Coturnix japonica: one gene and its partners. The protein of the gene in region 3 purifies or fractionates together with the protein of the main gene of each other region. This does not show direct contact. Links are inferred from orthologs where the notes say so. Each region holds a gene or a part of one and is shown on either strand. Other genes may lie near its edges.

Region 1 (3,500 bases), about 72 Mb from region 3:
TCTTGCAATGAGACTTAGAGCAGAAGCATAAATAATTTACATTAAGAGCTTACCTTCGTTGAAAGCACTTTAAACGTACTTTGCTCTGGCACTATAGAATGAAGAAGATCAAGCTTTAGGTTGTAGTCTTCACCTGAGGGGAGCCTCACTGATGCGTTCATCTGTTAACAGTTGAAAACACATTTCTGTCATCTTTGAGAGCAGTTATTCATTTTGGAGTAAAGAATTGTCATCTGACATCAAGACGAAGTGATTAATGATCCTTTACTAGGGTACTTAAAACATCACACATCAAAATTCCACACAACAGCACTACATTACTGCGTTATTCGACAAGGTGTCTGAAAGTACACTACAGAACTGAAATCTCCTATGTCTTTTTTAGCCAGCAAGTACTTAAAAAGCCAATTATCCTGTCAGCTTGATCTGCATTCTTTAAGGAAAGAATTATAGCAAACGAAGCAGCAACGTATTAATAATGGAACACGAAAACAATTTGCAACTTCCCTTCTAATTCATGCAAGCAATGTGAAAACTGTGTGAGCACTTGCCATACATTAAAGACCACAGTACTTTGCAGTTCACCAAGCACCAACTTAGCTGAGAATAAGAACTGAACTCCTCAGTGTTTACCCTTAATTAAGCACAAATGTCACTGTACTGAGTATGGCACTACACAGATTACCACCCTTCCGTGAAATGTATGCTTTGCTACAACTGACAGTTTTAGAGATACAATATATATGAACCCACCAACACATTGTTTTTCTGTTACCATCCTAAAATTATTTACAGAATCACAGAATGGCCCAGGTTGGAAGGGACCTCAAGGATCATGTAGTTCCAACCCCCCTGCCTGGCAGGGCCACCAAACTTCCACACTTACTAGACCAGGCTGCCCAGGGCCCCATCCAACCTGGCCTTGAACACCCTCCAAGGATGGGGCATCCACAACCTCCCTGGGCAGCCTGTTCCAGGACCTAACCACTCTCCCAGTAAAGAACTTAATTTATAACTACATTGAGAGTACCTCTCATGCATCTGGAGTATGAACAGACAGAGATACAATCAAACACTTGAGCTTCAGATCACTTCCTCCAACTAAGCAGCTGAAAAGCAGATGCTCCCTCTGCTGCATGTATGCCACACTGCATGTTGTGAGTAAGTCCTATAGACCTCACTGTAGCAATAGCAACTAATCCACTTGATTCTGCATACATGTAGCTACTGCATAACTGTATGTAAAGATGCTCAAACTGAAGTCAGCTTCTAGCATTTCTTCATGCTTTTAATAGAAGTGAGCATCATTTGGTAGAACTACATCTCATGGAATCTAGAGATGCTTATCGATAGCATAAATCACCTCTTTCTCTGAGAACTGCACTCTGACACCATCCTTCTGCGCATTCTTGATCATGATAGTCACAATTACTTGAGATTCTGTTTGGTACCAGTCATACCTTTAAAAAAAAAAGAAGAAAGAATTGCCTCTAAGGAGATGTTTAAAAACAAGCTAAAGAAACCCAACAACCACAACCCACAATCCCCCACACAACATGAAAGCAGGAACGCTGCATTGCATAGTTCAAAGCAAGGGGTAGAACAGCACCCTTCCACAGAGCAGTTACAAATTTGAATAGAAAAATGATTAATCAATGAATTTATGAAAATTGGATCACCTTAACCAATTCATGTTATAGCCTGCCTTCAATAAATTAAATAGCACGTTTTTACTTCAGGATCTTAAAAGCATCCCAAAATCATTACCTACATTAGGCACTATGAACAAGTCTTTGAATTAAGCTCATAAACCAGAAAACAGAAGCTAGAATGTCTACTCCATTCCACACCCACCCAGCAAGAACAAAGTCAGTGACACTGTTTGAGGAACAACTCACTCAGAAACGTCACAAAGTGGCAATCTACAGAATTTTTACAGTCATTATCTTGTATCTCCAATGCCCAGGTCAGCAAAGAACAGGTGAGACAGTTATTTTAGTTCTCACAGCAATACTGAAGTCAACTTACTTGATCTTGGATGACAGAGGTTGCTGTTGTGTATTCTAGACGAAGCATATTGCATTGGAAAGAAAGTTGCATCAGTGTATTTGACATATATAAGAACAAGGATACAGATCACTCTCATACTGATCACATTTCTTCTGTATGTGCATTAACTTATGAAAGAAAGAAGAAATTCTTCACTCTACGTTTGTGACAGACTTTAAAAGTTACCATTTACAGACTGACAACGCACACGCTCAGTGTCTCTTACAATACACAGGCCACACGTTTGAAAGATAACAACTAGATCAGCTTTAATTTCTTTCCTTCCTGGCTAAGAAGAACACCTGAAAGACACACAGCAGCCGTGTTGCTCATCTGTGAGTCACAAAGGAAACCTGAAATAGGTCTGAGAACGAACAGCAGAGTTTTAAAACATAAAAACCCTTCAAATCGTATGTCTTTATATACACCCACCTTATTTTCTGTACATTTTCTCCCTCTATCCTATTACTAAGATATGTATATCTTAGTATATATATATATATATAAAAGGCACAAAGAGTATTTTGGCTTCAAAAAGTCAATTTTGACATTTCTTTTGAAGATTTCCAATTAGAAAAGGAAATATACTTGTCTGAGTTACAGCTGAAAAAAGTCTGCAAAACCCACATGTGAGCCACCAGAGAAAACATCTTCGAGCGGCCGTGAGTTGACAAGATGAGCTGATATGAGTCTGGTACCACAGACTGCAAGTTAAAACCTGAATGAGCGCACAGTAATTTCCAGACTTGAATGTCATTCCTAAGTCCTCAAGCTGTAAGGAGGCACTGAATTCTACAAGCATGTTTGAGACATGATTCAAGACAATATTAAGGAAAACACCTTACCGCTTCTGTCTGTGAGCCTGCAGGGAAAAAAAGAGACAAAAAGAGATGCATGGTCAGAAAAAAGTGAACCCAACACGACTTTTATTTCACTTTTCTTCACTGACTCCAGACATTCTGCATTCATGCCAGTCTCAATGGTACAAAGTTAAAAACATACCAGCTTTACCTTTCATTTGCAGCCTTAGTGACACTCTATTTTTAATTAGGCTTTCTTTGTGCTATCAACTTCAACAACCAACTTGTGCAAAGATACAATATAAAACATGCTCCCATTAACAGCAAGAACAACCTTTGCATTGCTTTGCTTTCCTTACAAGAAAAGGATACAGACCTTCGTTTAATGAAATCAAGACTGTGGCAAAAACTAAAATGGAAATCACATCCTGCAAGTCTGTGCTAGCTTGACCATCCCTTATACAGAACATATATATATTGAGAGATAGAACTAGAGGGAATGGTTTTAAGCTGCACCAGGGGAGATTCAGGCTGGACATTAGGAAGTATTACTTCTCGGAAAGGGTAGTCAGGCATTGGAATGCACTGCCCATGGAGGTGGTGGAGTCACCGACCATGGGAGTGTTCAAGAAATGTTTGGATTTTGTGTTG
Region 2 (3,500 bases), on a different chromosome or scaffold from region 3:
CATTACTCTTTCATGAAGGGACGCATCTTGTGCTGAAACAGTTCCTCTTCTTAATGGAGCTTCAGACTGAAAATTCCTTATGAATTCCATGGTATCCTGGGGATGAGGGAGAAATAAGATGAAGCACCAAGTGTGATCCTTTTCAACCAATGAATCATCATAAACTATACGGATAAGGATGGTCATCTTTGTTTGACTTAAGCCTTGTAACAGTAAGCAGGGCAACATTCAAATGTGTTCACAGGACAGACATGCCTAAATTCTTCTCAACGCAGAAGATACATTATTTCATGACAGGAGACAAAAAGAGAAGAAAAAAGAAAAACCAAAACAGGAGTAGAAGCTGCATAATGTAAAAATGAGGATCTTACTCTCACAGTCTGCTTGAGATGTTTCAGCTTCTCTGTCTGTAGAAGCCGACGCGTAAGAAACCCCTTTGCCACAGCAGTTACCTTATCAAACTTCATTTGTATCTCTGGAGTGAAAATCTTAAAAGAAAATAAGCATTTTCTAACCACTGAATAAACAAAGCAGAAGAGCTATTTAATAAATATCTTTAATTAAGTTGCTGATATTTCTTACATCACGTGATTCAAGTCTTGAAGTAAGAAACAACTACTGATAAGAAGTAATACATATTTTGCTTTTTCCACAAGAAAAATACACTATAAAGTTCTGCCATGTAATCTAAGTTGATATAGGAAGGGACACTGAACTTTCCTGTGAGATTTCCTACTGCACAGCTACTAGAAAGTTACCAGAATCTTACAAAAACAGAAGGTCTTTTTAAGCTATATCTTATTTTCCCATACCTGGGTCCACCTGGTTTTGATCCTGTTACTTGGCCTAGACACTGAGGTTTTAATAACTCCACTGCCTGATGGTCCCCAGAGGAAGAATGAAGTTTCACTTGTTGAAGTAAAGGTGTTGGGTGACGTAGAATGAGCAAAACCTGCACACACAGCAGAACACGCAATTTATAATACAGCTATTGCCTTATGGCTCAAAATCTATGTGTGCAAGTACACACACGGTCATTACGCTTGTTTAAGAGCTCTCTACAAAATAACAAAAGCAAACAAACAAACAAAATCAAGCACATTAACTTAGGCTGCAGTCAGGAAGTCAACCTCGCATTCAGAAATGGAGAGAATTCCAGTTCTTACATTTTATACAATAGTACTTATGTACTGGGAGAAAAAATACCCACCTACAGCATGAAAAAAAATCACTTGTTTAATATTAAAGTTGCTCTACAAAAATCTCATCCATAAAGCATCTCAAAGAAAGTGCTTCTGAAGCGTTTGATGCTGCCAACGTAGATCCCTAGAGATGAGTCATAAATAATCAAAACCACATAGCTTAGCAGTCTTACTCTCAAAGATCCTCTGCTCCTCACCTGCTAAAACACCAATTTTCCATTTGTGCTTGATGAGGAATAGAAGTTAAAACAGGCAAGAGAGAACTCTGCTCAGAGGGAGCAATGCTGTTTGTACAAAGTCAACAGCAGGAAAGAAGCAATCTGAATATTTAATTCATTTCTACTCAAAATTAGGTGAGCCAATGGGAAAAAAAACAACACATTTTGAATTTTATTGAACAGGTGAGAGGTGACCCATGACTGCAGCACCATCATTACCAGCACAACAGGGCAGCTGCTACAGTCAATACTGCAGAGCAAAATATACCACATTTAATCTGTATCTGACCCTCAGTTTAATTTTAGCAGTCAGTTTTTACCAATGCTTGTAGAGTTTGCATTATGGATTGTCTCCAGCTGAGATTGCACACTTTCTACTAAGCCGCTTTCACTTTTTCTCCACTCCAACTCCATCCTACTGTTAATATTCACTTTGGATATTTCTATTTCTGTTGTAGCGATCTTCTTTCCCTTCCTCTCCTGTTCCTCCAGTTCCTATGAAAGAAAAAATCAGCTGTAAGACTTGTTTTCTGTCTGCAACACAACAAAATGTATATTTCAAAACCATCTGCATCCTGACAAACACACAGGACTTCAGCTCAGACTTTCTCCTCTTTCTGCTTTACCTTCTGCAGTTTCTCCTGCTCCCGCTCTTGTTCTGCTATCAGAATTGACAGCTGTTGTGCATGCTGTTCTTCGAGTCTCTTCCTCATTTCCTCAAAGGCCAACATTTTAGTCTTTAAAATCTCTTCTGAGAAGACACATGCATTACAAAGAATGAAGCATTAAATATTTTCTATGTGATCTTTTGTCACAGATATATTTGCTTCAAAAGAGAAATTTCCATCTTCAATAAAAAGCACATTTTTTATATCAAGTTGCCATTATGCATCGCAAAGAAGCCTTTCAGTTACAACAGTCCTTCAGAATATTTGCACGTTCCTCTTTGTGGGATTAGTATGTGGATGGAACAGCAGTAACACCAATGGAGACTGTATTAGAATAAGGATGTAAAACATCTGGATCTGGGAACACAATACCCACACTTGCTGAGTAAACTAAAATTATTAATGTCACTTTGGTTTAACTTGATAAGACACAAATGTAACACAGTCTTGAAATGACAAAAGCACCTATATAGTCATTTGCAACCTTGCTGCTGAAAGGTGTTCTCTTTTAATTCATTTTAGTAGTCTTACTTAAATCTAAGAGAACAAGAAATTATATTAGTAAAACTAAGTTCAAACTTCTACATTCAAATGAGAACGTGTTGGGTTTTTGTTTTTGCCTAAAGTGATATCCCTGAGAATAAACAGAGAATCCACAAAACTGAGAAACGTTTCATCTGATGCTTCTTCATAAAGTATTTAATGAAGGATTTGTTACAGAGGGCTGTAAGACTTCTTTCCATGAGTGAATTGTAAACGAGCAACTAGCCCGTTGTGCAGCCATTAAGCACAGCTCAGGTAGCAGCTGAAATTCAGAATTGGTCATTAATTAAAAATTAGATGAGATTACTGAAAAAAAGAGAACTGCCAGAATAACACTTCTGCCTTTTGATAGATATGTACTTAGAATCACCAACAATTATAATTTTTAATCTTACAATAAATTATAATATTAAAAGCTGCATTAATTTTAATAAGATTGATTAGAATATTTAAAAAATCATTTTTCCCTAGAAGATTCTCTAAACCGAGAAGTTTAGAAAACAAACACTGGAAATCTTTTACCTTTTGCCATATTTGAATCAGGGGCTGCATTCTTGGTAATGTAAACTGATGCCATGGGACATTTCTGCTCTTGCAGCCATTGCTTCTCCTGTTCCTCCATTCCAACAGTTACAGCGCAGGGGTTGCTGTCTTTCTGGCAGTTGTCAGTGTCCAAATCAAGTCTACGTTTTACCTTTTCAAAGCTGTTCTCTAGAATCTGTTCGTTTGCTGGGGGAACACTTGGATCCATCTGCTGGCGCATACTCTTGCTCTGCATCAGTAGTGGGGACGGGCTTTCTACATCATAAGATTTATTGAGTTCTACTGGAGATTTAGTATTTTCTTGCAAACTGGATGCTTTGGTCTCA
Region 3 (4,012 bases):
ATTGCTTTATACTTACTGACTGTCCTTTCTTGTGCTTACGCCTGTACAGAACAGTCCAGTTGATTTGACGGGGGTTTCTCTTGGAAAGGAATGCAGACTCACATTTTGCATTCAAGAACTGGAAAACCTGAGAAGGCAATAAAGTATTTGTGTAAGCTTCGTTTCTATGAATGACACTGTCACACTTTATATCAGCATATCAAGTAATTATTTGATTCAGTGTTTATCCTGTCACCAGTGAGAAGAGACCAACCCCACTCTCGTGTAAGCACCTTCTGTACGTGTGGGTCATGAGAGGATATAAGCAACACTTGAGAGACTAGAACTGCTCAACACCTTCTTGACTAGAGGAAACTGAAGGCAGTATTAAGGGCCTGATTTGCTACTAGCTAGTCAGGTTGAAATTCTTCAGTTTCTAAGGAGATCACCTCAAGAATCACTCGGTCCAGCTGTTTAGCTGCCATAAGACATGCTGCACAGCAAGACCACAGCACTGGAACTAGAAAGACTTGCAAGATGGTTGGGTTGGAAAGGACCTCAAAGCCAGTTCCAGCCTCTATTGTGGGCAAAGCTGCCACTCAGCAGCTCGGGCTGCCCATCCAGCCTGGCCTTGAATGCCTGCAAAGATGGGGCACACACAGCCTGTACCAGCGACAAGAACCAGAGTGTCTTTATAGACACAAACATCGTATCTCTAAGATAAGGAAACCAGATCCCAACGATCCACTCAGCACCCGGTCCCTACTCGGCTCGGCCTCGCTCCCCCCGCTGCTCCGGCCTCACCTTGCCATCCGTGCGGGCGTAGCGGCGGCCGTGGCCCGGGTAGATCTTGTACCCGCTGAAGCTGCACAGCTCGACCCTACGAGAAAGACACAAGTTAGCAGATGGCGCAGACCGACGGCCAAGTGTTCCTCAGCCATCGCTCGGCCTCCCCGCGGGGGATGGATGCGGATAGAGCAGCCAAGGCCGCAGCCCCACTCACTTCATGATGGCGGCGGGCGGGCCGAAGAGGAGGGGAGCCGGCCGGAAGGGGGCGTGGCCCCGGCGGCGCGCGGTGTGCCGGGAGCGCTCCGCCCCTGCGGGACCCGGCGGGAGGGTCGGGCCGCAGAGCGGGGGTCGGTGTGGGATCCTCTGCCGGCTGCCGCTGCGTCCCGTTGGGTTTCGCTGGCTGCGGGGGGCGGTCGCTGTACGGGGAGATCAATTAATCTTCGGAACAACGGGAATTTTCTCGGCGAGCGGCGAGGCAGCCAATCGGCGCCCAGCGTCCGGTTGCCTGGCGGCGTCGGTAGGAGAGAAGCATGGCAGCTACCGGAGCGGAGGAGCGGAACGAGCCCGGCTCGTCGGCTGCGGGGGGTGAGGGCACCGCCGCGGGGTCACGGCGCGGGGGGCGGGATGGAGCCGGCGGCTGGAGGCTCGTTGGGGCGCCGTTGTGCGGCGCCGAGAGACGGCAGCGCGTGGGGTGTGATGGGAGATGGAGTCGGGATGGGCGCCGGGTACACGGACAGTCAGGAGTGATTTCCTCATCCCTTTATATTGGTGTCTGGTGGAACGCTTTAATCGGGTGCCAGAATTTAAACAGGGACTGGTAGCTACATCTACACTGTGCCCCGGTGGCGCAGTGGTACAAGTGCCGCTTGCAACACCGAGCCCCGGGTTCGAATCCCCCCTGTGGCGCAAGTGGTAGAAGTGCCGCTCTGCTACACAGAGGCTCGAATCCCGGGGGTTGGACTCGATGATCTTTAAGGTCCCTTCCAACCCGCACCAGGCTATTACCTATTACCTATTATCTTCTAATAACTGATTGCTTTCTGTCTTATGTTTTTCTTATTCTAAGGTTTGGTAGTTAACTGGTCAGGTCAAGGATTGCAGAAGCTGGGTCCGACCTTACCCTGTGATCCTGATACTCACACTCTGATTCTGGACAAAAACCAGATAATTAAATTGGAACATTTGGAGAAATGCAGGAATCTGATGCAGGTCAGTGGGACTTGAGTTGTATTTGCTGGAACCTAATGGTTGGATATCAGGAATATCAGGAAGAACTTCCTTACAGAAAGGGTAGTTAAGCACTGGAATAGGCTCCCCAAGGTGGTGGTTGAGCCACCATCTCTGAATGTGTTTAGAAGCCATTTGGATGTGGTGCTCAGGGATGTGATTTAGCAGAGGGTTGTTAGGGTACTATGGGTAGGTTGTGGTTGGACTTGATGATCTTTAAGGTCCTTTTAAACCTGAGCAATTGCATGGTTCTTGTTAACACACTGAGTTATGTAGGCTCTGATGTTGCTAGTGCTTAGCTTTAATATACTTAACTTTGAAACGTTTCATTTAGGTACATGAGGGTTAAATATATGGTACATGAGGGTTAAAATATGGTTTTACACCAGGAATGTTGCAAACGTTTGTAAAGTGATTTGGCAATATTGATTTTAAAAGCTTATTTTCATACGATGCAATTCCTCGTTTAATCCCCTCCTTTATTAGCTGTTGATATGAGAAAGTCTTCACAGTTCTACAGACTTAGTGGAAATCTACTTTCTTTGATGATTTATTCATTTCTTGTCACTTGCAGTTTTTTGGGTCTGTAGTATTTGCTTAAAAATTGAACATCTACAAAGAAGTAGTTCCTGTTGGATTGGACTTTTAGCTTGACAGACAGCCTATACTATCAGTAGAGTTTAATCATTGAATCTGTTTCTTTAACTTGTGTGTCCATCTGCAGTTGTCTGTAGCCAACAATCGCTTGGTACGAATGATGGGTGTAGCAAAACTGACTCAGCTCCGTGTGCTAAACTTGCCTCATAATAGTATTGGGTATGTGGAAGGGCTGAAGGAGTTGGTACACCTGGAATGGCTCAACTTGGCAGGAAATAATCTTAAGGTAAAGTACATAGAGTTTTATGTATCTTTCCAGAATCTACCATAGTAGAAACTTGGAAAACACAGTGAAGATGATCTTTACGATGTTTCATTCTGTTCTACTGCATAGAAGACTGAATTTTTGTTTCTGGTTTTAATGGGAATAAATGTCAAACCTTCCTGTCCACTAGTGTAATGAAATGAAAGAGGGCAACTTTTGGACAAGAATTGGCTTGGGGAAAAATAGATCTTGGCTTGACACCAACTTGTAATAAGAACTGGGAGGTAGCCAACAAAACAGGAAAAGAATAGTTATCTTTAATTTTAAAGTGTCTGATATCAGGTAGTTATATCAGGTATTAAAATAATTTTTAATACATGATTTTAATGTAGGCCTTGTTATGCAGTGCTGTTAGCTTCCCAAGTTGTTTTCAATGATTGACACCTCTTTTGATTTAATGACTAAAAAAATATTGAAATTGACTCCTTTATTTTTATAGGCCATTGAGCAAATGAATTCCTGTGCATCTCTTCAGCACCTTGATCTGTCAGACAACAACATATCTCAGCTAGGAGATCTCTCAAAACTTACGTCTCTGAAGGTAGATGCACTTTTGTCTGTTCTTATATTCTTTGCATTGAGCATTTTTGTTTAGAAAATTGTAACCTTTTAAAACATTAATTATTCAGATGCTAGATTTTAAAGCATTCTAATTAATCCCTGTGACTTTTAGAAGGAGGAATGAAAGGGGTATTTTGTTGCTTTCAAGTTGCACCAACTGGGCCAGTGATTCTTCTGCAGTCGCTAGTGATTTTGATTAAGGTGATGCTGTAAGACAGCACTTGTTTCTCTTAGTGGGTTATGAATCAAGGGAAAGCACAGTGTTAAGTCTTTTTATCACATACACAGAGATAATGTTTCAAATATACTTGTGAATGCAGCTAAGCATCAGTTCTGTATTTCCTAATAGTAACAGTTTGCTTTAAGATGTAAAATTCAGTTTTCCCTCCCTGGAATACTTTTGGAAAATAGTTTTTAGTAAACTTCTGTTGTTGTCATTGTTGTTCAAACATGCATCTTTATCACCATATTTCTATTTTATAGACCTTGTTGCTGCATGGAAATATTATAACTTCACTTCGTACCGCCCCCGTT

Evidence for each region.
Region 1: the proteins of CEP97 (region 3) and SUGT1 purify together in Homo sapiens (affinity purification with mass spectrometry; 3 studies listed by BioGRID and IntAct, with this or other methods). This does not show direct contact. The link is inferred for Coturnix japonica from reciprocal best matches to the Homo sapiens genes CEP97 and SUGT1.
Region 2: the proteins of CEP97 (region 3) and CCP110 purify together in Homo sapiens (co-immunoprecipitation; 10 studies listed by BioGRID and IntAct, with this or other methods). This does not show direct contact. The link is inferred for Coturnix japonica from reciprocal best matches to the Homo sapiens genes CEP97 and CCP110.

What each region holds. Positions count from the first base shown.
Region 1 is NC_029516.1:148,374,596-148,378,095, forward strand, and holds part of SUGT1 (protein SGT1 homolog), read right to left. Parts: intron 2,912-3,500; coding exon 2,895-2,911; intron 2,064-2,894; coding exon 2,029-2,063; intron 1,461-2,028; coding exon 1,364-1,460; intron 162-1,363; coding exon 54-161; intron 1-53. UniProt on the Homo sapiens protein: May play a role in ubiquitination and subsequent proteasomal degradation of target proteins.
Region 2 is NC_029529.1:8,227,008-8,230,507, reverse strand, and holds part of CCP110 (centriolar coiled-coil protein of 110 kDa), read right to left. Parts: coding exon 3,154-3,500; intron 2,172-3,153; coding exon 2,047-2,171; intron 1,916-2,046; coding exon 1,741-1,915; intron 953-1,740; coding exon 813-952; intron 489-812; coding exon 372-488; intron 97-371; coding exon 1-96.
Region 3 is NC_029516.1:76,474,905-76,478,916, forward strand, and holds the start of CEP97 (centrosomal protein of 97 kDa), read left to right. Parts: upstream 1-1,212; 5' UTR 1,213-1,298; coding exon 1,299-1,353; intron 1,354-1,456; exon of another isoform or gene 1,457-1,585; intron 1,586-1,834; coding exon 1,835-1,977; intron 1,978-2,719; coding exon 2,720-2,878; intron 2,879-3,356; coding exon 3,357-3,458; intron 3,459-3,961; coding exon 3,962-4,012. Other genes in the region: RPL24 (60S ribosomal protein L24), read right to left, coding at 17-127, 784-859, 983-987. UniProt on the Homo sapiens protein: Acts as a key negative regulator of ciliogenesis in collaboration with CCP110 by capping the mother centriole thereby preventing cilia formation. Required for recruitment of CCP110 to the centrosome.